Linked DNA regions of Canis lupus familiaris. The protein of the gene in region 1 purifies or fractionates together with the protein of each later gene. This does not show direct contact. Links are inferred from orthologs where the notes say so. Each region holds a gene or a part of one and is shown in the gene's direction. Other genes may lie near its edges.

Region 1 (15,682 bases):
TTCTTTGGGTTGGCATTTACCTGGTATATCTTTTTCCATCTTATTTTCAATCTTTCCTCATCTTTATGTTTTAGATGTGTCCCTTGTAAAATGGCACTTAGCTGGATTTTTAAAAATGTTATCCAGTCTGTTAACCTCTGCATTTTAATGGGTGAGTTTTGCTCATATATGTTTTTTTTAACGTTCACTAATAACATTGGAGCTTGTTTTTACCATCTTCTTTTTGCTATTTGTCTCATTTTCTTCCTATGCTTTCCTTTTTGTCCTTGCTTCAAAAATTTTTTTTCTTATCCTGTTTTCTTCTCCCCACTACTGATTATGCAAGATTGTATCTCAAGCTAACTGACTGGTGACAGGGTTAGGGTTTGAAACTACCCATGGTCAGAGGTGGGGTTGGGGTGAGATGGCTTTTCTGAAAGGAGTTATATTGGCAAGTTATGGGGGAGAGGAGGCAGGTGGCTGAGGATGTCATAGGTGGTGGATTCTAAATCCTTTTTCTTTACAAATGTGAAACAAGGATGTCTGATAGGAACTGGAGGAAAGGGAAGTGGGAGTATGAGATGAGACTAATGAAGGCTTAAAAATAGAACCTGAAGCAAAACTAGGTAAAGCAAAACTAGGTGAAAACCTGAACTAAGAACTGAGGTTGGAGACCAAGAATTGTGTAGGTCTTGGGTATAGGTTCAAACATTGAGTCATTTGGAGTCCAGTTTGGGTTGGAAAGGAAAACAGATCAGCAGGAGGCAAGGAGACCAAGAGAAAATGAAAGATGGACTTAAGAGACTGTGGTCTTTTTTAAAGATTTTATTTATTTATTCATGAGAGATACACAGAGAGAGGCAGAGACACAGGCAGAGGGAGAAGCAGGCTCCCTGCGGGGAGCCCGATGTGGGACTCGATCCTGGGACTCTGGGATCATGCCTTGAGCTGAAGGCAGATGCTCAACCACTGAGCCACCCAGGCGTCCCACGAGAGAGACTGTGGTCTTGAAGTGGTTGAAGAACAGGTCTAGTGGGAATGAGCTATGGTCAGAAAAATGGGGATTACTGAATTTAAGATTTTAGGAGGAGGCAGTTCTGGTTGATCTGGTCCATAAGTGAAAAACAAAGAGAAGATATACAACATTAGCAGTTCCATTTTCTTATGGTGCTGTATTTATTTCCTCAATGATGTTCTTACATCTGTCGGTCTTAATATTACTTGGTCTCATTATTGTGTCAGTGTGCCTGTTTTATCACTTATCATTCCCAGTGTACCTGTGCCAGCCATCCTTGGTCTTTAGCTGCTAGGCAATTGGTAGATACCTATTTTATTCACGAGCAGCTGATATTTTAGCCAGTGCTCCATTCATAATCACATAGAGGAGAATCCATTTGCACAATGCTTTTGATTGCTCTGATAAACATTTTACAATAGTTTTGGCCATGATCCTGCCTGGACAGAGCCTGTAGAGTGCTAGCTCTAGAATCAGATTGCCTGGGCTTGAATCCCAGCAACTTTACTTACTTTGTTTACTACTGGGCAAGTTAACCTAACCTTTCCTGGATCCTCATCTATAAAATAGGGATAATAATACTGCTGCGTTCTTAGGGTTGTGGTGAGGATTAAATTAATATATATAAAGTACTGCATTGCCTGCCATTATTGTCAATTCTCAATAAATGGAACTGATGGGGTGATGATCAGCAGTAGTGGCAGCAGGTGCAACACCTTTTTCACAATATCATGTTAGGTGCTGGGACAGATACAAAGAAGAATATTGAAAAAGCCCTTGTTCTCAGAGAGTGTAATATTCTCCTTGGTTTGAAAACTAAGAATTCTTTTTCAAGATTATCTAAGAAAGGGTCCATGAAGGAAACTTAGTGTCTTACAGTTCAATAAAGACCAGGAAATAGCCAAGTCAAGAAACTGTTGATGGAACCTTATAACTATGCTGAGTTGTTTATAGTCTTTATTGTCCTGTAGGTAATTGGAAAAAAAAAGTGGAAAAGGGCTCATGGTTTAGTTTTAAGGGAGAGCAGAAAAGGTAAAGATGATCATCATTTCCTTTCAGCTTTGTCTACCCTGAGCACTTTGACTGCCATGACTACCAAATCTGTACTTTCAGATACAGTCACTCTTCCTGAGGACCAGCCCTGTGCCTCCAACTACTTTCTGAGCCTAATTACCTGGATATCCTGTATGTAGCACAAACTCAATATGACTAAAATGAAACTTCTTGCTTTACTTCCATACCTGTTTCTTCTCTTATAACTCTTCTCACTGTTAGAATTATCACTAATCTATCAGTTGTTAAACCAAGACAGGTAAGGTAAGGCATCTTTGTGCCTTCTTCATCCTCTTAGTCACTCCATTCTGTTACTTCTGCTTCTCAAACTTGATTCTCTGCTCTTTGTCTTGCTGCCCTGGGTTACGCCTGCCCTGTAGCAGATTCAGCAAGTATGTGTATTGTTAAACATGGATTTCAAACATTGTGATTGGCCCTGTAACATACAGTATTTCACTTTCTTGATAACTTTGTGAAATATATCATTTTGCACATGAGAAACTAAAGGGTGACAAATAAAATGATTTGCCAAGTTGGGTAGAGGTGCACTTGGTAAACCTAGATTTTCTTTTGTCTGGACTATTACAATAATCCCCTGTCTCCTCTGAAATTTCTTTTTTAGGACTTAAAAGTAAGACTTCTTTACGTAAAAAAATCATAACTATATACAGTAAAAAAAGTGAAAGTTGCCCCTCCCAATCCTCCACAAGAGAAACCAATGATCGTGGTTTTTGTTCCAGACTTTTTTCTCTGCATATACAAATGTATAGGTAAATACTTTACCAAACAAATCATTCAGTATAGTCTGGCAACTACTTATTTTTTCTACTCCAAGATGCATTTTCAAACAGATCTACCACATTTCTTAATGGTTGCATGGTATGCCATTATATGGAAGTATTTTTTTTAAAGAACTTCTTTGTTTTGTTCTTACAAAGTTACAGTAACATTCTTGTATATATATTGTTCTATGCACATTTGTATGAATATTTCTATAGGTAGATTCTTAGAAGTGGTATTGCTTGGGTAAGGAATGCACATATTTTACAGTGTGTTATGTACTTCCAGATTGCACTTCAGTTTGTCTTTTGAATCAGTTCTTTTGTACTAAAGCTAGAGTAAAATGGATTTAATCATTTAATTTCCCAACATCAAAAACAAAGCAACAACAAACATGTTTGATGGACTTCTATTGTCTATGTAATAAATGCAAAAATTCTTAATTTTCAAGAATGCAAGTTATAGGGGTGGCTGGTGGCTCAGTCAGTTAAGCCTCTGCCTTTGGCTCAGAGTCCTGGGATCATGCCCTACATTGAGGCTCCCTGCTTAGCAGGGAGTCTGCTTCTCCCCTCTCCCTCTCCCTCTGTGTCTTTTCCTGCCTCTCTCCCTGCTCATTCTTTCTCTCTCTCTCAAATAAGTAAATAAATAAAACTTTTAAAAAAGAATGAGAGTTATAAAATTTAGCCCAAACCTATCTTTCCTACCATTTCCTCCCACCAACAAAAATATGCTGCTTTATAAGGAAAAATTCACCTCTTCTGTGAAACCTTCCATGTATACAGGTCATTCTCTTCTCTCTCTATGCAAGATAGAATTAGTTGCTTCCTTCTTTAGGTTCCCATAGCATTTAATTTATTATCCATCTGATAGCGCTTAGTGCATTGTACTATATTTATGCGTATCTGTGTCCCCTACTAGTCTGTGAACTTAAGGACAGGAATTGTGTCTTAGTCATCACTGTATCCCTAGCACTTTGCACAATGCACGTCAGAGTGAGTGCTTAACAAATGCGCATGAAATGGGTGAAGATATTCTTCAGGTAGTGGTAGCAATAAGAACTTTGGGAGATAGAGTAGGTGATGGAACTTTTAGAGTATAGCATAAAGCTATCTGAGTCCTGAGAACACAGAAGCTGGTCAGGAAAGGAAAAATGGGCTTCAACTGGCAGAAGTCCCCATGTGGTTTTCTTCTCTACTACAGAGACCAGCTGTCTGATTATTTGGTTTAATAGATTTGGGACTTGGGAAAATGTAAAGTATTGAAAATTGGATGATCTAGGATTCACTTGCTGTAGGGAGAGTTCAACTCAACTGTTCTGTGCTTATTCCAGACTAATGTGCTCATGCTGAAAGACTCAGCCTTTTTCCAGAGTCATGAATAAGTTATCCTTCTTGAAAATCCAGAGCTGCCTCACTTTCAAGGGCAGGATTCAGGTGGGAGTAGGAATGGTAAATAGGTCAGATATTTCTACATTGTCTTTTTGTCCTGGCTTAAGGGGAAAGTAGCCTACTAAGAGGTTCTAGGGCTGTGGGACTACTCTGGAGTAAATTATCTGTGTGAAAAATAGTCCTTATCTTATTTCAGGCAACTGTGGTGGCTTTCCTGGTCTGATTGATTTGAAGAAAGAAGAGTAGAATAAAAATATAGAATAAATCATGTCAGAGATACTTGACCTCTCTTTTCTGTCTGAGATGGAGAGGGATTTGATCCTCAGTGTTCTACAACGAGATGAGGAGCTCCGGAAAGCAGATGAGAAAAGGATTAGGTAAGCATTCCAGAAAAAGCATGGGTGCCCAGACCTTTGACCAATTTTATCTGGACCTTTCCTTATACCTCCCATGTGACTTTCAGAAGAACTTATGTATCAGTATACAATTCCTCCCTTGGGCTCTGAAGTTGTTACTTCTGTAGAACCAAATTTTAATTACCAAACCAAAGTCTTACTGTCTACCCCTCAACAACTCTCCATGCAACCTATGCAGACTGTGAACGCACTTGTGCTTCTCTTTGGGGATTGGCAGGCGACTGAAGAATGAGCTACTGGAGATCAAAAGGAAAGGGGCCAAGAGGGGCAGCCAATACTATAGCGATCGGACCTGTGCCCGGTGCCAGGAGAGCCTGGGCCGTTTGACTCCCAAGACCAACACTTGTCGGGGTTGTAATCACCTGGTGTGTCGGGACTGCCGCATCCAGGAAAGCAGTGGTACCTGGAGGTGTAAGGTGTGCACCAAGGAGATGTGAGTATCACCTGTGGAGAGAGGCAAGGAGGCCCTGGCTGTGGGGAGAATTTCCCTCCTCGGCCTTTGTTAGTTGAGTGGCAAGAGCCATTTTAAAAAAAATTCACTTGTCACTTTCCTTTATTCCTTCTCAGAGAGCTGAAGAAGGCAACTGGAGATTGGTTTTATGATCAGAAAGTGAATCGCTTTGCTTACCACACAGGCAGTGAGATAATTAGGATGTCCCTGCGCCGCAAACCTGCAGGTACTGGCCCTGTCTGGAAATGGTTTTGTTTTGTTTTGTTTTTGAGGTACTTGACGTCAGTGAAAGATCCCTTGGCTTGGAATCCTATTATATATTCTTACTAGTGGTGTCTTTACTTCATGGGCTCTGTGGGGAATATAAAGATTATATTGCCATCCCTTCTGCAAGTGGGATGTGTTTCCGTCCCCCTCCTCTCATTACCACCACTCTGCCATGCTTTTGTTTACCTCGAAGTGAATAAAAGAGAGACAGTGGGACAGTCCCTTCTTCATCAGTCACAGATGGATGATATCTGGCCAGGAAGAAGGATCGTTCAGGAGCAACAGAAGGAGCCCAGGTAAGAACTAGCAATCATTTACAGAGATGCTACACATCCTTTGAATTCTATTATTTTAAACTTTGTTCTATTTATCAAAGAAGAGCTGTTTATGACAGGAAAATTTGGAAAGTATAGAAAAGAATAAAGAAAGAGGGGAAAAATCTATTGCTACCACTCACATGTTAACATTAACATTTTGGAATATTTACTCTCTTCTTTTTAAGACCAATTTAAAGATGAATAAAAATAACACATACTCATGATTAAAAATTTAACCTGTACAGGAAACAATAAAGAAAGCAACGAATCACCCAAATTCCTAATACCCACAGTACTCATATGTGAAAATTATTTAAGGTATCACTTGTCTATATATGTAGGTAGAAGGATGGGTGGGTGGATAGACTGAAAAACCTGTATAATATTGGATCATAATATATACATTAAAAGCATGCTATTTAATTTTACTTGACTTTAACAGAATAAAACAGAAGAAATAAAATTGAAGAATTGCTCATCTTCAGATAAATGTTTCTTTACCATAAAAGATACTAATCTTTAACATCCCTCTAAGTTTAAGAAAAAAAATCATAAAATCTATTGAGTAGTCATTTTTTTCCTAGTGTCTTTTAGGTAACAGTTTTATTGAGATAGAATTCACATACCATACAATTCACCCATTTATAATGTATAATGCAGTGGTTTTTAGTGTTCACAGAATTGTGCAACCATCGCCTTAACTGATTTTAGAACTTTTCATCACCTTAATAAGAAACTCTATACTCTTTTAGCTAAAACTCCCAACTTCCTTATCCTTTCCCACCCCTAAGCAATCACTGGTCTACTTTCTCTATATATATATTTGCCTATTCTGGACATCTCATTTAAATGGAATAAAAGAATATGTGATCCTTTGTGACTGTCTTTTCTCACTTAATGTAATGTATTCAAGATTCATCCATGTTATAGCATGTATCAGGACCTAATTTCTATTTATTGCCAAACAATATTTGATTATATATTCGAATGTTCTATTGTATGTATATACCGCATTTAATTTATACGTTCATCTGTTGATGGACATTTGGATTGTTTTTACTATTTGGTTATTATAAGTAATGCAGCTATGAACTTTCATTATGAGTTTTTGTATGGACATACATTTTCATTCCTTTTAGGTAGATACCTAAGAGTGGAGTGCTGGGTCAGTCACTTAGTCATTTTAAAAAAATCTACCTGTTTCAATATTATCACTGTACTCTCTGCTATGAAAGAGAAGGAAATTAGGGGCACCTGGGTGGCTCAGTCGGTTAAGTGGCTGCCTTCGGCCCAGATCATGATCTCAGGGTCCTGGGATCAAGCCCCCATTGGGCCTCCTGCTCAGCAGGGAGTCTGCTTCTCCTCTCTCTCTGCCTCCTCTCCCCTGCTCGTGCTTATGCTCTCTCTCTCTCAAATAAATAAATAAAATTTTAAAAAGAGATTAGCTTTCTTATACTTTCTCCAAATACTTTACCCTACTCTCATTTTTTATACTCAAATTACTTTTACTTTGACAGCACTTCTAACATTTACATTCTGTTCTGCAACCATAAACCATCTGCCTGTTTTATCTGTTTAGTTTTTGTTCATATTTAACAGGAGTATACTTTTTTAAAAAAATTTTTATTGGTGTTCAATTTACTAACATACAGAATAACCCCCAGTGCCCGTCACCCATTCACTCCCACCCCCCGCCCTCCTCCCCTTCTACCACCCCTAGTTCGTTTCCCAGAGTTAGCAGTCTTTACATTCTGTCTCCCTTTCTGATATTTCCCACACATTTCTTCTCCCTTCCCTTATATTCCCTTTCACTATTATTTATATTCCCCAAATGAATGAGAACATATAATGTTTGTCCTTCTCCAACTGACTTACTTCACTCAGCATAATACCCTCCAGTTCCATCCACGTTGAAGCAAATGGTTAGTACTTGGATGGGAGGAGTATACTTATAACCTTGTACCATGGCTTCTCTGTATTTCTGAATTTTTCCTTTCATTTTTTTTTTTTGGTTGTTTGGATTTTATCACTGAGAAGTTCCTTCAAGAAGGGCTTGCAGAAGCAATATTTATTTTACTCTTTCATGTTAAGAATGCCTACCTACTGACTTAATACTTGAATGGTATCTTGGCTGGATATTGTATTCTTGAGTCACACTTTTTTTCCCTTATAATTTGTAGACATTATTCCATTGTCTTCTACTATTGAGTGTGACTGTGATAAAGTCTGAGGTCAGCAAGCCTTCTGTTTTTCTCCCTTGTAGGTAACTTACTGTGTGTATGTGTGTATGTACACACATGTCTCAATGGTGATCATTCTGTATCCTCCTAATATGTACCCTTGATGAGTTCTTTGTTCATTGCTGGAATATTTTTCTTTTTTTTAAGGTTTTGTTTATTCATGAGAGACACAGAGAGAGGCAGAAATATAGATAGAGGGAGAATCAGGCTTTCTGCAGGGAGCCCGTTATGGGACTTGATCCCGGGATCACACCCTGAGCTGATGGCAGATAGATGCTCAACCTTGCGCTGGGCCCCTTGGCTTCTGCTGGTTGGCATTCATCCATACACCAGCCAGCCTTCTCTGTTTCTGCTACTGCTAGAAATGTCCCTGTTACTGTTCAGACATTCTCTAGTACATTCTCAAACCTTCCTTAATTGTCATCTGAGAGTGGCCACCTCCTATGCATACAAATCAATCATTATAATTTTCCCCAAGAAATTCTGGAAAGAGGAAGTGGTGGTTGGGCTGGATGAGAATATTTCTGCTCTAATCACCAAGCCTCTCTTATTGATGATGTAAGGACAATTTCTACCAGCTTTGGGGGAGGGAATAAGAAGAAAAAAAGGGATACTTTGCTCTCCCCTTGACAGAGGTAATTGCCTTACCTGCTACACAATGTTTTTCACTCTCGACCTCTTACACTCTCATTCCTGAGAAACCCCTGAGTTGCTCTCTTTTCTGGCCTCATATTGTTTTTCAATAGGTTAAGGTTACAACTATTAATAAGCTAGGGCTTTTGCTCCGAGGCTGTCAAACTAGCCCTTTTCAAGTCTGTAAAACTTGTGTAGCAATTAAGAGATATGAAATCTCATATATTCATGTAAGTAGCTCTTCCTTTCATGTTTTTGCCTGGCTATAACTGGAGATGCTTTTAAACTACAAGCTTTTTTTATTAAGTAGAAAATATGCTTATTGAGAGGAAGGGCAAGATGCTCCTAGTGACCTGTCTAAAGAATCCCTTTTACCAAAGACAGCTTCTATCAAATGAGAGCAAGAATTTTACTGATTCTGAACAATGTAGGGGCAGGACCATAAAATCAGGACATTTTTTAAAATTGCCTTTTTCTTTTGTTTAAGGATCTTATTTATTTATTCATGAGAGACACACACAGAGAGAGAGGCAGAGACATAGGCAGATGGAGAAGCAGGCTCCCTGCAGGAGCCTGAGGTGGGACTCGATCCCAGGATTCCAGGATCATGACTTGAGCCAAAGGCAGACGCTCAACCACTGAACCACCCAGGTGCCCCTGGAAAATTTTTCTATGTCATATCCTCTGAGATTTTTTTCTGTTTTATTAGTTAAGTTTCCCACCCTAGGCACGTTGGATTTCTTATTTATTTATCCTCCTTTTCTTTTAGTATCAAATGCAAGAGAAAAGAAAGGTAAAAGCAATTAACTGTGATTAACCCAAACTTTTCCTCTATGCTTTGATTTTCAGCCATTTTCTTTCCTCCCCTTTTCCCCTTTCCTCTTGCTATATCTAATGTACTTTTAGAATGAATTATCTTGGGATACCTGGGTGGCTCAGTCGGTTAAATGTCAGACTCTCGATTTCAGCTCAGATCATGATCTCAGGCTCATGATCTCAGGGTCCTGAGGTCAAGCCCTGCATTGGGCTCTGTGCTCAGTGCTCTTCCCCCTCTGCTCTTCCCTACCTCATGTGCCTCTCTCTCTCTCTCTCTCTCTCTCTCTCTTTCTCTCTGTCTCTCTTTTTTTCTCTCTATCTCTCAAATAAATACCTAAAAAAGTGAATTATCTTGATTAGGTTTTAATTTATTCTTTGTTCTCAATCTTCCTTTTACCCCAATTTTGTTGTTTTTCCATCTTTCCTGTTTGCACTCTTATGCTTTATCAAATATATATTCTTATTGAGTTTCTATATAGTATAAAGCACTCACAAGCAATCTATTTTCTGAGGGTTATACTCTTCTCCAGAATAGTTCTTTGACCATCTTGCAAGTTGTTTCTATTTCTCCACCCCATGGCAATTTATAGATTTATCTGCCAGACCATTTCTTCTCATTTTACTCATGTTGAAGCTAGGAAGTTCTTCTGCCTATATCTTTTATTTGCTCTGATATAGTGTGTGAATTCTCCTTGACACCTCCTTCTCACCTCAACCTGAAACAATTTATCTCTTCCATACCCCCAACTGTACTTCAAGCATAAAATATTGCTTTCTATATACTTCTTTTATTGGAACCTAAGGGGAAAGCAAAAGGCAACTTGGGGGTCTTGGGGTTTGGCCTGCTGAAATTCTCTTAAATGTCCAGGCTCACATGGTCCAGCTTTGGATACATCATCTAACTCCTAGCAGTGCACTGAGAGATGACATACCCCAGCAGTCTTGTCTGCATCTGTTGATACCTGGGACTACAAATCTTGAGAACTTTTGTTTTCCTTGTCTTATTCCAGGACTGCCTACTCACTCACTTCATCTGTACATCTCTGTATTGGATGGAATTTTGCTGAGCTAAATCATTCTTCTGTCTTCTTAGCCATGACTTTTTGAACTTTATGACAGGAGCCTTTACTCCTTATTTGGTAGCTGCTGGTGGTTTTTTTTTTTTTTTTTTTGGCTTTTTACTTGTGTTTTTCCCCTAAATTTCCCTGAGCCAAAGGGAAATGACTTAATCACGTTTTGTATGATTGTTGAAAAGCACTATTAGAAATATGTAAAATGAGTCCCCAGTAACCTCACTGCTTCTGCCCCAGACTATTATTGTTAATGGGCATTACTAGTTTTGGTGATGGACTACCAGACTATCTAAATGTACAAATACGGATTGGATTCTTACATTTTTAATTTCTTTTAAAAAAAACTGTCATACTACATACATAGTAAATGGTAAAAACTGAAAGAGAGAGAATTTTAAAAACTCAATAGTATAGATAATCCAGTAGAAACTTGGCAAAATATTTGAACAGACACTTTGCCAAAGGCAAGATATAGGTATTGAATAAGCACATAAAAAGATGCTCTCAACACCTTTAGTTATTAGGGAAATATGAAAAAAATCATAATAAAATGCTACTGTATAACCATTAGAATGGCTAAAATTTAAGAACTAACCATACCAATTATTGGTGAGGATGTAGAGCAACTGGAATTCTCCTACACTGATGGTGGGAATGTGCAGCAGTGCAGCCTCTTTGAAAACCAGTCTAATAGGAGTTTAGTTAAATATCCTTTACCTTGTGTTTCACCCATTCCATTCCTCAGTATTTACTCAAGAGAAGCAAAAGCATGTGTCCGTGCAAAGACTTGTACATGGATGTTCATAGCAGCTTTGTTTGCAATAGCCAAAACCTGGAAACAGCTCAAATGTCTATAAACAGGTAAAGGGATAAATTGTGGTTTGTTTATACAGTGGAATACTACTCAGTGATGGAAAGGAATGAATTATTGATACGAGCAATAATATGGGTGAATCTCAAAATAATCATGCTGAGTGAAAGAAGCCAAACAAAAGAGAGGGCATACTGTATGATTCTGTTTATATAAAGTTCTAGAAAATGCAAACCAAAGAGTAGTGGCAGATGCAGATCAGCACTTTCTGTCTGGGAACAGAGGTAAGCAGGGATGAATGGATTATGAAGGAGTGAGTGGAAGCTGTTGAGAGTGATAGGAGTATTCACTAACTTAATTGCGGTGATGGTTTCACAAGTGTATGTACATGTTAAAATTCATCAAATCACACACTTAACCATGTGTTACTTATGTCAGTTATAACTCAAGGTGTAAAAGGAACAATTGTAGAAAAATAAAACATCGGCACCTCTCCATGTCTGCACTAAGGGTCTATCATTCTTTTTGCCATATGTATGGTGTTTCATGGTATGTATGTACTATGATTTAATCCACACAGCATTGGGTGGGTGACTCATCTGTTCTAGGCGATGAGGCCCCCTTTTTCCTTGGTGGATAAGGATAAAAACAACTTTTATTTTCTGAATCTGATTAACACATCTGACATCATCGGTCAGAATGTAATTTCTGAGACCTACTGCTTCTGGCTGTCTATGACCTCTTTTCTCATTGGATCCAGAAGACTTATTTATCCTAAACATGGAAGCAGATTAAGTGGCCATAAATTATCTTTGCCATAAAATTATGGAGTCTCAGAGGTAATCAAATTCATTCCTCTTATTTTTACAGAAAAGAAAGCAAGATAATTTACCTGAGATCATACAGATAGTTAGAGCCCAGGATTCTCATCTCTTAGTCTATTTTTTACTGCACAGATGCCAATAATTGCCTTTTTGCCCTAGGGTTATTTGTATCAGCTTTGGATTAGTACGTATTAATCATTAGGAAAAAATACAAGCAGAAAACACACTCCGTGGGTTATTGTTAAACTACTTCTCTAGAGGAATGGTTCTGCTTTGGATTCTTTATTCTTTGGAGCAAAGGGAGAAAAAGAATGATTCTAAAGTAAAAATGAAATCAACTTACCTGCTGCGCTTTGAACTATAGAGCTATCTCTCAGGAAATGACCACTGTTTCACCTCTTGCATGCCCTAGGATTTCAACCCCTGCTGCCTTTTTTCATAAAACTATTGCAAACATGATGTCATAACTTGGAATGTTTATTCTTTACTGCCTAAGACATTATAGATTCTGGTTACTTTGTTCTTTTTTTTTTCCTGGTTACTTTGTTCTTTGTTCATATGTTAATTGACATATTTTAAAACAAATGTCTACAAATGCCTACTATTTGCCAGGCACTGTTTTAGGCCTTGGGATACACTGGTAAATACAATAAAGTTCCTTGCCTGTGGAGCTTAGATTTGGGGACAGGGAGACACAGACAATAATCAAGTAAACATATCAAATCAGATGTTGACAAGTGCTATAGAGAAGACAAAGCTGTCTAAAGGGATAGGAAGTGGCAGGAAGACATGTGTGTACACATGCTGTTTTACTTAGGATTGCCAGGGAAAAGTCTCAATGATACAGTGATATCTGAGCAAAGACATGAAGCAGACAGGGGAGCAAACTTTTGAGAGGATCTGGGGGAAAAGCATAATGGGCAAAGAAAGCGGAAGATGAGTTTGTATTTGGTGCATTTGAGTAATCTGGAACTGAGCGAGCAAGGGGGGAGTGGTAGGAGATGAAGACAGAGAAGGGATGAGAAGGAGATCACAAAAGACTTTGTTGGCGCTTGTAAGGAATCTCACTCCAAGTGACATGATGTTTTTTCTATTTTGAAATTGAGGTGAAACTCACATGACATACAATTAATTGTTTTAACAATTTTAAGGTATGACATTCGGAGGCTTTTAGCACTTTGAGAATGTTCTGTAACCATCGATTGCCACTGTCTAACATCAGAATATTTTCATGACTTCAAAAAGAAACCCCACACCCATTCAGCATTCTCTCTCTGTTTCCTCTAGTCCCTAATGTGCCTCCTGTCTCTGTAGATTTGCCTGCTCTGGATACTTCACATAAGTGGAATCATATAAAATATGTCTTGCTTCTTTCATTTAGCATAATGTTTTCAAGGTTCACCCATGTTGTAGTATGTATCAGAACTGTATTTTTTGACAGTAATATTTCATTGTATGGATATACTACATTTTGTTTATCCATTCATCCATTGGTGGACAGACTATTTCCACCTGTTGGCTATTGTGAATAATGCTGGTATGAACATTCATGTACAAGTTTTTGTGTGGACACAGGTTTTCAGTTCTCTTGGGTATATATCTAAAAGTGGAATTGCTGGGTCATTTGGTAATTCTATATTGGATTTATATTTTAAAAGCTCATTTTGACTGTCTATTGAGGTTAGATTGTGTAGGGAATAGGGTAGAAGTAGGGAGTTCATTCAGGAGGCTATTGTGACCATAATGTTACCAGTAGCTAGGTGATGGTGGTTTGGACCAAAGCAACGTCAGTTGAGGGGGTGAGAACCAGTCAGTTTCTAGATATAATTGAAGACAGAGCCAAGAGTATTTGATAACAGATTTGGTTTCTATTGTGAGAGAATAAGGGGAGTCAAGGGAAACTGTTAAGATTTTTGACCAGAGAAATGAAAGGAGGAAGTAGCTATTTGATGAAATTGAGGGAAAAGCAGATTTGGGGGAGGATTAGGGCTTTAGTTTTGCCCTTGCTGTGTTTGAGACATCCAAGCAGAAATGTCAAGTAGGCTGTTGGAAATACAAGCCTGGCATTCGAGTGAGAGATAAATTTAGGAGTTATTGGTTTATAGAGGATATTTAAAGCCATGAGACAAGATGAGATCATTTAGGAATAATTCTAGATAGTGAAGAGAAGCAGTCTAAGGAACACGCCTGGACACAATCCAAAGATTAGAGCTTTAGGAGATGAAAGACCAGCAGAAGACCCTGAGAAGGGGACCCCAGTGAGGTCAGAGGACCAGGAGAGAGTCGTCCTGGCAGCCAAGTGAAATTAATTGAGATCCTTTTTTTTTAAAAAAAAGATTTTATTTATTTATTCATGAGAAATACACACACACACACACACACACACACACACAGCAGAGGCAGAGACATAGGCAGAGGGAGAAGCAGGCTCCTTGCAGGGACTCGATCCAAGAACCCTGGGATCATGACCTAAGCTGAAGGCAGACGCTCAACCACTGAGACATCCAGGCGTCCCAGCCGAGCAGTTTTAAAAGTATACTCAGATATTTATCGTAGAAAGACCACTCAGGCTCCCATTGTGAATGGGTTGGGAGGAAGCCTGATTCCCAGCAGGAAAGCCTACTTCCTTTACATATTGGCCTTTGGTTTTTATTCTAGTGTGCCATTTGATGTGCCTAAGCTGAAAAGTGGAAAGAGTGCACTGGAGGCCGAGAGTGAGAGTCTGGACAGCTATACAGCTGACTCGGATAGCCTGTCCAGGTGAAATCCCTGCGAGTGCCTGCACCTCCGACTACATTTTGTTGTCAAGTCCAAGATGCAGGGCTCCTATACCTTCAGTGTGTCTTCCTTCTGTCCTCAGCAAGTCAAATGAAGTATTTTCTCTGACCTTGCCACAAGTTTGTCAGTAGTACATCTGCTGTTGGCTCCGAGCACAGCCTTCTGGAGCGTGCTAACTTCCATGGGCTGCTGTATCTTAGAGGAGTCTCCCTGGACCAGTAGCAACTGCCCCTGCTGTCCCTTAGGAGTGGGGGAGTAAGTGTGTTTGTGCAAAGTTGCTTATATGATTGTCTACATTCCTTCAAAGGTAAATCAGATGTGACGTTTACTTTCTGGATTTGGTTACTGCAGTGACCCCAAGCCAGTGGATCTCATTCCATAGAGCTTCCATAGATGGGGAAGTTGAGCAGGTGATTTTGTTATAACTTCTATATCTACCCCCAGGAGAGACTCTCTGGATAAATCTGGGCTCTTTCCAGAATGGAAGAAGATGTCTGCCCCCACATCTCAACTGGAAAAGGTAAGCTTTAGTTATTGGTCAGTTGGGATCTCTCTCTCTCTCTCTCTCTCTCTCTCTCTCTCTCATTTTTCTTCTCTTCTCTCTCTTTCTTCCTTCTCAGGAACAGTTTACATTGAGAATTCATCTAAATAGGGTATCTGGGTGGCTCAGTCAGTTAATCATCTGCCTTGAGCTCAGGTTGTGATCCCAGGGTCCTGGGATCGAGTCCCACATCGGGCTCCCTGCTCAGCGGGGAGCCTGCTTCTCCCTCTCCCTCTGCCACTCACTCCCCTGCTTGTGCTCCCTTGCACTCTATCTCTGTCAAGTAAATAAATAAAATCT
Region 2 (16,329 bases), on another chromosome or scaffold:
AGGGCATTGAACATGTCTCTGGGGTTAAATAAACCCTATTACCGAAAATTAATACCATCCCCACCTCAGGGATGGGGAAACTGAGATGCAAATAGGTCCTGTTGCCTGCTCCAGGCTATGCCCCTGGGAGCAGGAGGTTAGCCAGCGGCGCCCCCTGGCGGAGGGAGGCGGGGTGAACCCCAGGATTCTCCTTGACTTCCCGACTGTTTCTCAGGCTCCTGGCCTGGTGGAGCTCTTGCTGAAGGGGCCTGTCTCGCTGGCAGCAAAAGAGGCGTCTCTGCTTAAGTATTAGGTTTTATTCCAGCCTCCAGAAGCCTCAGTCTCCCGCGCCCCCGCCTCTGAAGAATTATAACAGGACACAAGTCATCCAGAAGCCTCTGGCTTCAAGAACAGCTGGCTTCATTCCTGAATAATTCCATTGATAATTCCATTCCACTGATAATTCATGATCATCACAAGTAACAATCAAATTCCACAGAAGGAGAATTAAAATTCGTCTGGGTCACAAACTTGGTGCCTTTCTTTCCAGATGTTTAAAAGGCAGAGATTTACCGGCACCTGGGTGGCTCCATGGGCCAAGCATCTACTCTTGATTTTGGTTCAGGTCATGATCTCAGGGTCCTGGGATCGAGCCCCCAGTCGGGCTCAGCCTCAGTGTGGAGTCTGCTTGAGATTCTCTTTCTCCTTGTCCCTTTGCCCCTCCTCTCCCGCCTCTCTCTCAAAACAAACAAAAAATCTTAAGAAATAAATAAATGAAAAGCAGAGATTTAGGGGATTTTTATGTATATTTTTTTCTCCTTCCCCCTTTACTTACAAGTAATATTTGTTTTATGTGGAGAATTTGGAAATACTGCAAAGTGATACAAAAGGGAATAAAATTTTGCTATAACCTCCCTGTAGATCATCTGCCTTTAGCATTTCACTTTCTCTGTTTTTTTCTCCACTTCCCCTTCAGTTTGGGCCACAGACGTCTCTCCATCTCCCTCTTAGTGACTGCACTCCACTACTCATCTGGCTTTCCATACTCCAAGCTATGGCCCCACCTCAGGGCCATTGCACACACTGTGCCCACCACCTGGATTGCTCCTCCTCCATCCTCATCCTCACCCATTGTGTCTCAGCTCAGCATCTCTTCCCCTGCAAAGTCTTCCCTGACTCCCACACCCCCACCCCAGGCTGGCACTGGTGGAAGTTCTTGGGCATTCTGATACATGTCCGCCACCCTCTCTACACCCCAAACCCCGTAAGTCTGGGCCAGGTCCACCACACTATCCTTAGTATCCCCTAGAGATGCATATTGACTACTTCATGTCTCTTAACCTCTCTGAGGTTTTATTGTTTCATGGGTAAAATGGGCTATTTATGAGGATCACATAATTGCAACAGGTAACATTTGAGAAGAGTGTCCTGAGCCAGGAACTGAGCTGCCTGCTTGAAGTGCATGTTAACTTTGCCTTTCTTCTCTCATTCCACAGATGTAGAAACTGAGGCCCAGAGAGGGGCGAGTGAAGTCATTTGTATGTTCCAGGTCCCCCACTTTCTCCTGTTTAGGGTCCTTACTGAGGGGCACAGTTTTCGCCTTTGTGGCCCACTCTACACCTGCCGAGGAGGATTGGAGAAGGTCTTCAGGGTCCCTTGGAACTTTCAGCCCTTGCAAACTCCTAGGGTGACACTCAGGGCCTCATTCTGCCCTTTCTGTTAAGGAAACAAAAGTTGTCGGGCCCATCTCCTTCACAGAGCTGGAAAGAGGCTGTCCTTTGAGCTTGTTTAGTGAGTTCCAGCCTCAGGGCCTTTGCACTCATTGTCCCCCCTTTCTGGAACATTGTTCCCTCACCTCTCCATCTGGCCAGCTCTTTCTCCTTCAGGTTCCTGCTCAAATGCCACTTCTTTTCAGGGAAGTCTTCCCTAACCTCTCTGGCCAAAGTCACCCTCTCTTCAATCATTCATTCATACATGTCATCCCATCACAGGGCACTTACTGTGTTCACAGGTCTAGGTGCTGGGGACACTAATCTGTGTCTCTAAGCATAGAGCCCAATGCAAGGCTTAAACTCACGACCCTGAGATCAAGACCTAAGCTGAGATCAAGAGTCAGATGCTTAACTAACTCAGCCACTCAGGCAACCCTCAAATAATTATTTCTGATAGCAGATGTGGCAGGAGGGAGAAATATGGTGATGTGATAAGGAGGTGACATGAAATTGGAACCTCTGAAAGGAGGCGGGTGCCCATCAGAGATCTGAAGAGAATGAGAGAGCCAGGCTTAGAAGGAAGTTGGGGAACAGTACTCCAGGCAGAGGGAACAGTGGGCACAAAGGCCTTGAGGCAGGATTGCACCTGGAGCCAGAGGGAGCACCTGACCACCTGACCTGAGGAGAAAGATGAGATGAGGAAGTAGCTGGTGGGTGGTGGGTGGCTAGAGGGCCTGGGCTGTGAGGTGGAGTCTGGACTTGACTCTGAGTGGGGTGGGACTTGGAAGGGTTTAAGGCCTCTTTCTCACTAGCTCTGGTGTCCCAGGCTGTGCAGCAGTTCCCCATTCAACGACCCCTAATTCCAGAGTGGAATGCTGATTCTCTCTCTCTCTCTCTCTCTCTCTCTTTTAAAAAATATTTTATTTATTTATTCACGAAAGACACAGAAAGAGAGAGAGAGAGAGAGAGAGAGAGGCAGAGACAGAGGCAAAGAGAGATCCAGGCTCCATGCAGGATGTGGATGTCCCTCCATGCTGGACTCATCCAGGGACTCCAGGATGACACCCTGGGCCGAAGGCAGGCAATAAACGGCTGAGCCACCCAGGGGTCCCAGAATATTGATTCTCAACAATAAAGGCCTTGCATTATTTTTGCTTTATTTTATTTATTTTTAAAAAAGATTTTATTTATTTATCTATGAGAGACACAGAAAGAGAGGCAGAGACATAGGCAGAGGGAGAAGCACCCTCCAAGGAGCTGACTGGGGACTCCATCCAGGACCCCGGCATCACGCCTTGAGCCAAAGTGATGCTCAACACTGAGCCACCCAGGCCTCCCTATTTTTACTTTGAAATACAAATTCCTCTGTGCAGTAGCTGATGCACATTGTTGGGGGGGGGGGGCTTCCCTCCTTTGGAAAAACAAAACAAAAAATGACAACAGGTATTTCTCAGTGCCATGCACGTCCAAAGCCCAAAGCATGCTTTTGGGAAGCCTTACAGGTCCTCACCTCCACCAGGGTGTGTGTGGGCCGGTTCCGGGCCAGCCGTGCTGGGGGCCCCCACCGACTGCCAGCCTCCCTGCAGGGGGGAGGTTGGAGATGAATTTATTTTTATTTATTTATTTTTTTATGTTTTTCTCAATTTTCCAATTCTCCGCAGTAGGTTCATAATACTCTTATAGTCCGAGTGGAGGAGAGGAACAAAAATCCTACCCTTAATAAAAAATAGATTTCTCAACGCAAGGGACGTCCGGCTCTTCCAGGGGGCGGGGGGGGGGGGGGGGGGGGCGGGGGGCGGGCTCCAGGCGCTAAGTTATTCTGGTCTCTAGGCGCCTCCGCAGCTGGCGAGCTTTTTATAAACAGGACGCACCCCTCCGCCCCCCACCCCCGCCGCCCCGCGCCTGGGGAGGGAGCAAGATCAGAATTCTCTTGGGGCCACGCTCCTCCTGCCGGGTCTGGGGAGCGGAGTTGAGGGGCAGGGATCCCAATGGGGCATAGGGGCTCATTCTCCCGCACGACCCCCCAATTCTGACATTTCTCCCTCAAGATTTGGGAGAGTAAACGACTGAGCACCGCAGCCCCCAAAGTCTGCACTCGCAGAGTCTTGTTTCCCCAGGATGGAGGGGATCGGTCCCCTGCCTCAGTCAGGAACCAGGGTCGGTAAAGCATCTCCCAGCCCCGTCTTGGAGAGACGTCTTGTTGGGTCTTTGAACCTCGCTGAGACCCTCCCTGTTCCCCGTTGTTGTTGTTTCCTGCAGGTTTGTGGGGGGACTTAGGGGGGGAAGCCATTTCTCTGCCCCACTTCAGCATTATTTTCGAATTTTTCTCCGGAAAGGGGGGGGGGCGCAGGTAGAGGAGGGGTTCTTGTGTCAGCCCCTTCCTTCTTTTCTAGAAAATAGTTCCCTCGATCCCTAGATCCTCTTTCTTCTTTTTCATCTCAGCAAACAGGACCGGGCATCTACCCACCCGGTCCTCTTTGGGGATCTTACACTTTCCAGAAATTGGGAGGGGTCTCCCTTCACCCCTATTTTGGCTTTTTCTTCATTTGTACTTATTTTGAACCCGTGATTGGGGGGCACTGAGCGTCTCTCAGATGTCTGTTCCTCTTCTAAAATTGGGAATAGTGTTTTTAACCAGAGGTCGCGACACCCAAGACCCGGCGGGGGCCGCGAAAATCTCAGACTAAAGGTGGGAGGGGGCGAGGAAGGGGAACGCCCCCTGAAGACCCAGGCTCTGCGAAGGCCTCAACCTCCCAGCCCTGCAACCACCTGGGAGCCACCATTGGACAGGAGGAGAACAGTGATAGGCTCTGATTGGCTGATCAGTCCGTCGCTCGGGGGCCCTAAGCCAGTGAGAGGGCGCCATTCAGTCCCGCCTCCTTGACGCAGGCAGGAGGCGGAGCAAGTAGGCACCTCCCCCGCGTGCTACTGGGTGAGCACACTGATTCCCGCCCCACTCGTGCGTCAATCTGCGCGGGGGCCCCGCCCCTCCTGGCTCTGCGTGCGTCAGTGGGCTGTTGCTCCAGGCGCGGCTCCGCCCCAGGATGGCGTCACGGCTGCATCTGCATGTGAGGCCCCGCCTCACTCTTTGCAGGACGTCACCGCGGACTGCAGGGGCCTGAGCCGCTGCTGCTGCCGCCGCTGCCCCTGTCGCGCAGCCCCACATCAACGCAGGGGGCCCCGTCACCACCGCCGCCGAAGAGTCGCCGCCGCTAGGGTCACCACCGCATCGGTGCAGGGCAAGGTGAGTTCCCGGGCGGCCTGGTTCGCCGCCTCTCCGGATACCTACATAACCTTCATTTGACTGATGGGATTGCCGGGGTAGGGGAGAGATTGGCCGCGCTGAATGGGGGGGAAGGATGCGGCGGTCACAGCCCTTGTCGGGGTAGGGCCCTGGCTCCCCCTACCTGCCGGGTCCTCACCCTCACCCCCACCCCCCACCCCCGGCCTCTGCGGCGGAGGGGGAGGGGAGGCGAGTGCCTTGCGGGAAGCTGTGCGCGCGGGAGGCTCTGTGCGTGCGTGCGCGTGCGTGCGTGCGGTGTGAACACGCGTGTGCGCGCCCGCCGGTGCCAGCGGGTCTGTGTGCAAACCCTTTTGCTTATGTACCGGGGTATGCTCGGGTGACCCTGCGGGTGTCCCGGCCCCGGTGAGTGCGTGCTGCACGCATGTGAAAGGAGACGCATGGACTGTGCGTGTGCCTGCACGTCGTGTGCATACGTGCACGGGACTGCGTGTCCGCGTGGGTGACGTGTACACGCCTGCATGGGTGGAGGGCACCCTGCGCACGGGTGGGTTGGCATGTGTGTAAATGTGTGTTGGTGTGCGGACAAGTGTCTACGTCTCGTTTCCTGTGCACCGAATGTATTCGACTCTCGTGTGCACACGCGTGTACGGGTGTGTTCCCTGCTGCGTGCACGTGAGCAGGTGCACGCCCCGCCCTTATCACATGACCAGCTGTCTCAGCCCGATCCCTCCTAGCTTGGGAGCCTGGGGGAAGGGGGTGCTGCGACGCACATCCCCGCGGGGTCGTACACGCGTGTGCACGTGCGCCCGCGCGGCACCCTTCTGAGACACATGAATGATTGATGGGGGGCGGGGCCGGCTGCAGTCAGCCCTGCCCGCTCAGCTTAGGGTTTAGGATTACAGCCCGACCTAGGGCGAAGGCATGTTGGAGGGGGCCCAAGGGGTGTCCCCATGTCCATCTTTCTGAGCTGCTCCCTTGACACTTTTGGCCTTTCAAGGTCACAGCCCGCCCTTTGCCGTGGGCCCTACCGTTAGTACAGGGGCTCCTGATGAGATAAGAGTAATCTATAAACACTAGTCCTTCTCAAGAGCTCTGGAATTCTCTGTATCCTCTGCCTGGAGCCTGGGCAGCTGGGTGCGAAAGGGGACTCTTCAGGCTCACCTACACCCTGCACACCCAGATGGCGTCCGCCACAGACTCGCGCTATGGGCAGAAGGAGTCCTCGGACCAGAACTTCGACTACATGTTCAAGATCCTCATCATTGGCAACAGCAGCGTGGGCAAGACCTCTTTCCTATTCCGCTATGCAGACGATTCCTTCACGCCTGCTTTTGTCAGCACTGTGGGCATCGACTTCAAGGTCAAGACCATCTACCGCAACGACAAGAGGATCAAGCTGCAGATCTGGGTGGGTCCAGCTGGGGAGCTTCCGTCCCTATCACTTTGCCTTCCCAGAAAAGCAGCCCCAGCTTTGCCTATTTCCTGTTTGGATTCACTCACACACTGGGTGTTTATCAGGTGCCTACTGTGTATTAGGAGCTAGAGGCCCAGAGTCCTCCCATGGGTGCCTCATCACTGCTCTCTGGGAGTGGGGAAGGAGCAAATGCTGGGTCCTTCCATGGGTGCCTCATCACTTCTCTCTGGAAGTGGGGAAGGAGCAAATGCTGGGTCCTCTCCTCTGTGTATTACTGAGAGCATCACTGGGATTGGTGCCTCAGTTTCCCTATCTTTCAGTTCTTTCATGTGAGTCTGTATGATGTTTCAGCCGGATCTTGGCCCCCCCCTCCCCAGCCTCATTCCCTGGGACAGGAACAGGCAACCTTCCTCCCTTCCTCAGGGTCTACTGGCCACCTCCCTTAGCCCCACAGGGGCCCAAAGGAACCTGTTTAATCCCAAGCCAGAGCTGTCCCTTCTCTGTTCATTGCATTCCCATGGGCCACCTGGCCCGGGAGACCTCGCCTGCTTTGTCTCCCACCTCCGCTGCCTCACTGTTCCTCTGATGTATCAGGCACACTGATACAGAGACCCACTTCAGGGCCCCTGCTCCAGGCTCTGTCCTTTGCCCAGATTGTCCTTCCCCCCAGTCCCCGTATGGTTCCCTCCTCACCTCATCCAGCTCTCAAAACCATACCCTCACCCACATTGCCCTTCCATCTTTGTCAGACTTTATCTTCCCTCTCAGTCTTCATCACCTCCAACATAGGATACGTTTTCTTCCTTTTTGTGTTTATTGTCTGTTTCCTATAGAATTGGGTAATCAGTAGGCAGTGATTTTTGTCCATTTTGTTAACATCTGTGTCCCTGGTGCTCAGCCCAGGGTGTGGCACACACAGGTCAATGCCCAGGTACGTTGAATGAGTGAGGAAATGATTCTCTAGGTACCCGCCTCTGGAGGACAATTGAGCACAATGTTCTCTGTGTAGGTGGGCAGCTTGCTCCCCTGGCCCATTTTGCCTTTGGGCAAGCCCCCTGTTCCTTCTGGTCCTCAAGCAGGCTGGACTGGACAATCTTGGAGCTCATTTCCACTGAGGAGCTTATGTACAGGGCCTGACTCTTGTCTTTTTAAATTTTTTAAAAAGATTTTATTTATTTATGGGGAGGTGGGGCAGAGACAGCAGAGGGAGAAACAGGCTCCCACAAGGAGCCCAATGCAGGACTTGATCCTGGACCATAGGATCAAGCCCTGAGCCAAAGGCAGACGCTTAACCACTGAGCCACCCAATGGTGGCTGACCCCTGACCCCTGTCTTTTCTTCCCCAGGACACAGCAGGGCAAGAGCGGTACCGGACCATCACCACAGCCTACTACCGGGGTGCCATGGGCTTTATCCTCATGTATGACATTACCAATGAAGAATCCTTCAACGCTGTGCAGGACTGGTGAGCACACCTTCCCTTCGGCTCTCAGACCATCTTCAGAGCTGGCTTTGATGCAAAGCCCCAGCTCCCCTGGCAGAAATGTAAATCACAATATCGGACTCTCAGACCTGCTCTCGGGTCTGTAATAACTGAAACGTGGTGGCACTGGCTCAACCAGGGGGAAAGAGGGTTTCATCTCAGGTGGAAAAATGAAATTGTCAATTTATAGGCAAAAAAAAAATAAGGGAGGGGTCAGAAAATATAAGGATGGTTTGCACAGGATGAAGGATCTATATGAACACATTTCTGCCCAAGGTAGTGATAAACTTTAAGGACATTTCTGAATTGGCAGAGGATGGAGAAATTCTTGCCTCCGGGGGACAGGGATCCGGGAAGGGTGGGAAATTCTACAGGAAAGGGATTTCCAAGATCAGGGAGCCATGGGTCTGTGTTCCTGGCAAGACAAAGGGCGGAAGGAGGGACCGAGCTGGCCAAATCCAAGCAATAATCTGCAGGTGGGGGGCTAGAGTGTGGTGAGCAAGGGGGAGATTAGAGGATGGTGGAGCTAGGTTGCTGCCAGCCCTAGCCCACCCCACCCCACCCCTGTCACTGCCTCCTCCAGGTCAACCCAGATCAAGACCTACTCATGGGACAATGCCCAGGTGCTGCTGGTGGGCAACAAGTGTGACATGGAGGATGAACGGGTGGTGTCGTCGGAACGTGGCCGGCAGTTGGCTGACCACCTTGGTGAGTGCCCAGTGGGGCTGCACACTTGCAGCCTAAGAAAGGGACACTGGGGCCCTGAAAGGGGAGGGGACACACCCAAGATCTCACAGCAAAACCAGGACAGTGTCTAGATTTGAATCCAGACAATTCACACTGTTTGCAAATGGCCTTGAGCCAGATCTTGACAGATGCCTAGGAGTTCGTGGTGCAGTTACTGATTTGTTCAGATATCTTCACTGCTAGCCTCATGTTGGGTTGCTGAGCCCAAGAAGCCTCATTTTGTGGGGTAGAGGGGGAGATCTGGGCTGGGGGAGTGTAAGGGGGGCAAGCTCTGCCTGGTGTAGGTAAGACCTGGAGGACGGCACTGGATCTGGTGCTGAAGCAACGGGTGGTCAGACCAAACTTCAGGCAAAGGACAGAGGTAGGTAAGATCCTGAGTGTTCTGGCAAATAATTAATTTTATATGGCTGGAATGTGGGGTTTACCTGGGGGAAATGCACACCCTGAACCACATGCCGACGATCTGGGATTCCTGCAAGGGCAACAGGGAGCCAGAGGGTGTGTAAGCAAGGGAGGGCACAGGGGGATGTGCCAGATACTGCCAGGGCCAGTGCGCGGGTTAGGCTGGATGTTGGGAGTGGGGAAAGAGGTCTTGCTGGGGGCCTGGAGACGAGATGGGGACAGTTTTAGGGGGAAGGAAGGAGTACAAGCAACCTAGGGCTGACCTAGTCCAGTGTCGCCTCCCTGCAGGACTCTGGTGCCGTTAACGTGGTTGGCACTGGGAATCTCCAGATGTTCTCTGCCCTCAGAGAAGCATCCCCAGGAGGGTGGAGGGGGAACCAGAGTCCTCATCCCTTCCTTCCCCAACCACAGGCTTTGAGTTCTTTGAGGCAAGCGCCAAGGACAACATTAATGTCAAGCAGACCTTTGAGCGCCTGGTGGATGTCATCTGTGAGAAGATGTCCGAGTCATTGGACACGGCTGACCCTGCAGTCACGGGTGCCAAGCAGGGCCCACAGCTCACGGACCAGCAGGCGCCTCCACACCAGGACTGCGCCTGCTGAGAGCTGCCCTGCCCCACCCCTGCCCACCCCTGCCCACCCCCTGGGCCTGATCCAGTCCCCACTGGCCCAGGGCGTGAGACCCCTGCCCCAACTTAGCCCCTCACCCTTATTTATTATCGTAGTTATTTATTTATTTATTGGAGATGTCCCCCAGGGGCTCGGGCTCCCCAACTACCCCGTGTCCCACCCTGTACATACGGCCCTGTCCCCACTCTGCTGTGGCGTGTCGTGGCCCTGTGAACTCACTGCTCACCCTCCTCTCAAGACCCCACCTTTTTTAAAAGTCACCCCCATCAACAGTTACCGGTTTTGAAGAGGGGGCCCGATGACACCCCAGGGCAGGCTGTTGGGTGGTGGGAGGTAGTCGGGTCTGCCAGCCTCTTGGCTGGGCCGTGGTGGGCCAAGGCCACTGGGGGGTGGGGGTGGGGGGTGTCTCAGCATGGACCCTGGGGTAGATCAGAGCCAGGTAATGGCCTGCCTGGCTCCTCACCCCCAAAGTTTTACCCTTTTTTGGAGGTGAGGGCTGCTGTGGGTACTCGCCACCCTGGGACACCCCCAACACCAGGCCTGTTCTGACGTCATGAGTGTCAAACATGCCCCCCAGATCCCCAGGAGATGTCATGACAACACTACACACACCCAATAAAGCGAATGGATGACGCTGTGTCCCTGAGTGCCAGCCTGCTAGCGGTGGCCTTGGTCATCCACAGGATATTCAATGTCAAGAGAATTTAATAGAATTTCCACAACCTGCAACCTGAATATGAGACTGGAGGCCACCTGGCCCTGCCTAAGCCTCCAGATTCTCCAGGCTGGGCCCTACTTCAAGGAAATGGAGTGTGTCCCTGACCTTGGGCCCAGGGCCCAGCCCACAGTGGTGTTGAGGGGTTGGGGGATTGGGACTGGGTGGCTCGGGCTGGGTGCTGCAGATGGGGCCATCTGTCACTGGTTCATGGAGGCCTGCTGTGACGGGGCTCCTGGATGACCATCTTTATGGCTGTGTTCCAGATGAGGAAACAGGTCTTGTACTGGGCTTGGAAGGGGCAGCCCAGCCAGATGCCTAGGGTTTGGGGAGGGGCCAGGACCAGGCCTGGCCTGCTGAGAGTCAGTCTTGCCCTGTCTGGCATCCACTCAGGAGGGCTGGGGCAGCTCCGTCTGCCTGGTGCCCAGGGCCACACAGCTTAGGGGTGGATGGGCCCAGGATCTGTCCGTGCAAGAGGGGTCTGGTCACACACCCCATTCACCCCTCTGAACTCTTCACCAGGCAGGTCCTCACCCACCTGTCTGGTGGTTGAACTCAGTCTTGGGGGACAGATGCAGCAGGGACCTGGCCGATGTCACATCAAACAGCAGACAGGGGCTGGGTCTTCACGCTGCCGATGACCAGCTCCCCACCCACCTGCTGTGGTCTGCAGATTGTCATAGGCCCAGGAGGACCTCACCCTAGAGTGGAGCTGTACCATTTGGGGTTTACACATGTGGCCCCTGAGGAGTCCCCTGGGTGCCTGGTCCGCCCACCGTGCTCACCCGGTACTTCAGGTAGGAGAGGTACGTGTCCCAGCCCAGGGTTAGGCCGTTGATGTAGGTGACTCGGAATTGGGTGGGCACGAAGAGAAAGTTCACCAGCTGCGCAGCTGGCCAAACGCACCAGTCGGCCTGCGGGGAGGGGTGGAGTGTGGTGAGGGGAGGAGCCCTTGTGGGAGGGGAGCAGCTGTGAGAGGCAGGGGCAGGGAGTCAGGGGCAGGGAGTCAGGGGGTGGGCGGCCCACCTTATAGAATTCCCAGAACTTGTCTCGCAGCTCCTGGCAGCTCTCATCCAGGGTTTGGCCCTCCAGGCAGCCAATGCCTGGGAAGGAGACAAAGAAATTAGAGTATCAGAGGCTGGGGAGTACTGGTGACGGAGCAGATAGGGCAGGAACCCTGAGGGTCAGGGTCCCAGGCAGATAGCCCAAGATGTTTAAAAGCCTTGCGGTGGGAAGGGCCACACACAGCAGAGTGGCTGGTGTGGAGAAACAAGGCAGAACAAGTTGGTTCCAGTGAGGGAGAGGTCCTAAGTAATCACACATCCCCTTAGGGGCACCTGGGTGGTTTAGCAGGTTAAGTGTTAAGTGACTCTTGGTTTCAGCTCAGGTCATGATCTCAGGGTCCTGGGATTGAGCCTGAATTGGGCTCCTCGCTGGTTGTGGAGCCTTCCTAGGATTTTCTCTCCCTCTTCCCTCTCTCTAAAAACAGACACCCCAAAGGATGAAGATGCACCCTTCCTGAGGCTGTTTTATTCCCTGTCTTTCACAAAGGAGGAAACTGAGCCTGGGGCGGGGGCGACAGTCTTCCCAGAGCCAAGGGCTGGATGACTGCACCCTGTCACCCCCAACCTCAGCAATTCTTCCTTCAGCCACAGGGCCTTTGCATAGGCAGTTTTTCATGCCTGCTGGCTCCTTCAAGTCTCAGCTGAGTGTCCTCTCCTCTGGGCAGCCCTCCCAACCACTGCCCACAGCCCCACCTGTACTGCTTCATCCCTCCTACACTAAAGCACCATTGTCTGATTCTGCTGTTCATGCCTGTCCCCAGTGGGTCTGTCCTGTCACCACTGTGACCTAGCACCCAGTCCAGAGCCACACAGAGGAGGCACATCAGAAATGCATCTCAGCCTCCTTAAAACAAAGCTGGCTCTGCCCCTCCTGACGTATGGAGAGGCAAAGCCCAAGCTCACAAGGCTCCTTACCCAAGAAATACCAGATGCCTAGCAAGGGAGAGGCCACGAGCTGGTCGATGAGGACCTTCCTGAGGACGTTCCGGAGGCCAGAGAGGCCAGATGCTGGGAGCAGGTGGTCCAGCCAGAGGTACCAATAGTGCAGGAAGGGACCCATGCTGCAGCCCACTGCAAACATGCTTGCTGAAAGCAGTTCAAGAGTCAGGGGGAGGCCAGCAACTCCCCCCAACCCATTCCTTCCCTGGTTAACTTCCCTCCCTGGTGAACTTGAAGCCGCCCCACAGCCCGCCTGTATGTTCTTCCGTCACAAGCCCCATTGCCAGGCACTGGTCCTCTCTCGTGCTCTGTCCTCATCCCCTTCACCACCCTGTGAGCGGGTTCTACCATTGCCCTGCTTTCTGGAGGAGGAAACAGGTACAGCAGGTTGGGAAATGTGGGGCCAGTGCGCAGTCCCAGGGTGGCTGGGTCCAGACGCTGAGCTCTTGATGTCCTTGGTGCGGCTTCCCGTGCCCAGGGCTTGGGCTCCGTGCACGCGGGAGGGGAGCGGACGAGGGCGTGGGCGGGGACGAGACGGGTGGGTGGGAGTGGGTCCGGAGGAGACAGGGACCAGGAAGGAGGAGGCAACCGAGACCTCGGGTGGGGCGAGGGCGGAGACCCCGGGATGGAGAGAAGGGACGGAGGCCTAAGCATGGGCTCTGGGGGGTCTTGGATGCACGCAAGGTCAGGGGTCCTGCCGGGAACTGAAGCTGGGGTCATAGGTCCCCCGGAATCCAGGGCTCCTCACCTGAGCGCCGGGGATCGAACTTCTGGCCAGGCCGGGCGCGGAGCTCCCAGGATTGGCGCACGCCGTCCCCCGCCGCCATGAGAGTACCACAGCCCAGCGTGTTGGTGACGAGCAGCGCACGGCCTTGGAACAGGGGCTGCCCCACGGCCCGGAGGCCGCGCAGCCAGCGCCAGCCGCCGGAAGCCATAGCCCGCCGCAACTCGGGCCCCGGCACCAGGGTCGCCCTTCCCGGGCGGGCCAATCGCTCGCGGTCCTCGTGATCGGCACGCCGGCCCCAGTCCTCACCAGTCAATCGCGGACCGCTCGGCGTCCCCCTTTGCCGGCTGGAGATGTATTAACCAGTAAAAGACCGGCATCCCATCCCGGGCCAATCGCGGAATGAAGCCAAGCCCTGCCTTCCGCACCTTACGGGCCAATCGCAAACAGGCGTCTCCCCGCCCCCGCAGATCTATCGCTGCCTCGCCACCATCGTTTCCCCGCCCCTTTCTGCGCTGGCCTATGGACAGCCGTCGCCACACTCTACTGGCCAATCGCAGCCTAGCCTTACGCCGGCTGTCCCGCCTCCCGTGTGGAGCTGGCCAATCACGCTTCTTCGCCTAGGTGCCCTCTAGACGCTCAGCTTCTCCCGGAATTCCAGAGGGAGCCGAGCGGGGGCTCCCGCGGCTCCCGCAGCGGAAGTCTGATCCCGCAAAGCCTCACGGAAGTTGGGGGCGGGCCGCGCGCCCCGGTAGGATCCTGACCGAGGCGTCGACCTTGCTCCTCACTTTAGCTGGGTACCTGACTTCCGATCCAGAATAATAATGGTTAAAACGTTAGGTTCTGGGCAGCCCGGCTGGCTCAGCGGTTTGTCGCCGCGTTCAGCCCGGGACGTGATCCTGGAGACCCGGGATCGAGTCCCACGTCGGGCTCCCTGCATGGAGCCTGCTTCTCCCTCTATGTCTCTGTCTCTCATGAATAAATAAATTCTTAACACACACACACAAAACGTTAGGTTCTGTTCTGGGCACACTACGTGCTATAACTTCTTTCACAGCAGCTCTACAAACAACTGTATCTGTTTTACCTCCTGTGTTGGGGGGGGGGTGTACGAGTTTCCATGGAAACGTATGCGTGGCTTACACGTGACTTACAAAGGAGCCGGGTGTCGCAAACTGCGGCCCGCGGTCCAAATCCCCGTAAAATCCCCGTTTTGTTTTTGCGAGGCTCACGAGGTGAAAGTGTTTCTTATATTTCTTTCTTTCTTTTTTTAATGATTTTATTTATTCGTGAGAGACACACAGAGAGAAAAAGGCAGAGGGAGGAGCAGGCTCCATGCAGGGAGCCCGATGTGGGACTCGATCCCGGGATTCCAGGATCACACCTTGGGCCGAAGGCAGACGCTCAACCGCTGAGCCACCCAGGGACCCCCTCTTATATTTCTTTAAATGTGTTAAGGAGTATCACGTTTCTGGACGTGAGAGAATCCGTGTGGAAGCTCCGTTTTCCTTTCCAACGGATGAACTCTTGAACTGGGGCCAGAGGCACCCAGCGTTTTACAAGCAGTTGCTCCATAAAATTTCAACAAAGCACTTGGCATTCAGATCATATGGAGAAAGTAAAGTTAATAAATACCAGGGAGGGCAGCCCGGGTGGCTCAGCGGTTTAGCGCCACCTTCGACCCCGGGCGTGATCCTGGAGACCAGGGATCCAGTCCCGCATCGGGCTCCCTGCATGGAGCCTGCTTCTCCCTCTGCCTGTGTCTCTGCCTCTCTCTCTCTCTCTCTGTGTGTCTCTCATGAATAAATAAATAAAATCTTAAAAAAAATATCAGGGAGACCGTTTCATTTGATAGCACCAATAAAATAATAATCAGAAGTGACTCAAGTAGTCAATGATGTGAGAAACAGAGGCAAAAGAAACATTTAATTTCCTTACTACCTACAGCCCACTGACAAGTCCTTGAAACAGGCAGGGTGACATTCCTCTAGGAACTCAGCTGCCTCGATGATAATACTTTGCTGAGGGCGAAAGGCGACTGTAGCCCGGCCCTCCCTCCCCCCAGGATCCTGTAAGTCTACTTTAACATAAAAATTCCTTCAGGAACTTCCATTATCTCTACCCCTCCAGATACATGTTGGCGATCATTCCCCAAGCATGTGATCCACCCATATACATCTGAAAGATCTCATGACTAAGGTTTATTTTATTTATTTATTTATGACTAAAGTTTAATTAGACAGTAATAAATGGCCTTTTCCTAACAATAGCTAGCCCCCTCAAAGTCCTGGAAACCCTGCTTTCAAATTCTTTAGAGATTTAAGCTAGCCCTTAACCCCCTCCCAACTTGGAAGTATATAACTGGCCACTCCTCACTACCCCAGTGTAGCTGTTTCACCCTATGGATTCTGTCCCCATGCTTTAATAAAATCACATTTTTGCACCAAAAACGTCTCAAGAATTCTTTCTTGGCCATCAGCTTCAAACCCTAATATCTTTCCTACATTAGTACCAAATTAGCAGGTTTTATTTTTTTTTCTTTATCTAAGTCATGTAATTACCTCTTCCTTCTTTCTCATAAAAACCCCTTATTTTCCCTACACAAGGGAGACACTTTTCTGGTTACTCTGGAATTTGTGCTCCCAAATTGTAATTCTGAGACCCCAAATGAAACATTTTTTTCCTTTTCAGTCTTTACATCCTTTTGTCAGTTGACAAAAGGTTGGGGGTAAAATCAGAATACTATTCTGTGACATGAAAATTATATGAAAATAAAATTTCTGAATCCATAAATAAAGCTATATTGGAACAGAGCCTTACCCATTTGTTTCTGTAGTGTGTACTCTCACTACAATGAATATTTGCAACAAAGACTGTATGGTCTGCAACAGTTAAAACTATTTACTATATGCCTCTGTACAACAAAAAAAGTTATCAGGGCACTGGCTGGCTCAGTCTGTGGAGCAGGTGGCTCTTGACCTTGGGGTTGTGAGTTCAAGCCCCATGTTGGGTGTGGAGATTACTTAAGAGTAAAATTTTAGGGGCTCCTGAGTGGCTCAGTTAAGCATCTGCCTTCGACTCAGGTCAAGATCCTGGGGTCCTGGAATCCAATCCTGCATATGACTCCCTGCTTTCCCCCAATACCTATGGCCTGCTTACACACACACACACACACACACACACACACACACACACCCCTTGTGCTGGCTCTCTCTCTTTGTGTCAAATAAATAAATAAAATATTTTTTTAAAATCCGAAGAATAATATCTTTTTTTA

What was found.
Region 2: the proteins of SYTL4 (region 1) and RAB3A purify together in Homo sapiens (affinity purification with mass spectrometry; 3 studies listed by BioGRID and IntAct, counting the BioPlex papers as one, with this or other methods). This does not show direct contact. The link is inferred for Canis lupus familiaris from reciprocal best matches to the Homo sapiens genes SYTL4 and RAB3A.

What each region holds. Positions count from the first base shown.
Region 1 is NC_049260.1:74,957,544-74,973,225, reverse strand, and holds part of SYTL4 (synaptotagmin-like protein 4), read left to right. Parts: intron 1-74; 5' UTR 75-151; intron 152-4,157; exon of another isoform or gene 4,158-4,260; intron 4,261-4,411; 5' UTR 4,412-4,482; coding exon 4,483-4,592; intron 4,593-4,848; coding exon 4,849-5,064; intron 5,065-5,198; coding exon 5,199-5,308; intron 5,309-5,542; coding exon 5,543-5,645; intron 5,646-14,721; coding exon 14,722-14,823; intron 14,824-15,285; coding exon 15,286-15,361; intron 15,362-15,682. UniProt on the Homo sapiens protein: Modulates exocytosis of dense-core granules and secretion of hormones in the pancreas and the pituitary. Interacts with vesicles containing negatively charged phospholipids in a Ca(2+)-independent manner.
Region 2 is NC_049241.1:45,200,871-45,217,199, forward strand, and holds RAB3A (ras-related protein Rab-3A), read left to right. Parts: upstream 1-4,761; 5' UTR 4,762-4,935; intron 4,936-6,115; coding exon 6,116-6,343; intron 6,344-7,211; exon of another isoform or gene 7,212-7,695; coding exon 7,696-7,814; exon of another isoform or gene 7,815-7,838; coding exon of another isoform or gene 7,839-7,883; intron 7,884-8,415; coding exon 8,416-8,540; intron 8,541-9,392; coding exon 9,393-9,583; 3' UTR 9,584-10,254; downstream 10,255-16,329. Other genes in the region: MPV17L2 (mpv17-like protein 2), read right to left, coding at 10,921-11,037, 11,111-11,239, 11,352-11,428, 12,305-12,475, 13,077-13,263. UniProt on the Homo sapiens protein: The small GTPases Rab are key regulators of intracellular membrane trafficking, from the formation of transport vesicles to their fusion with membranes.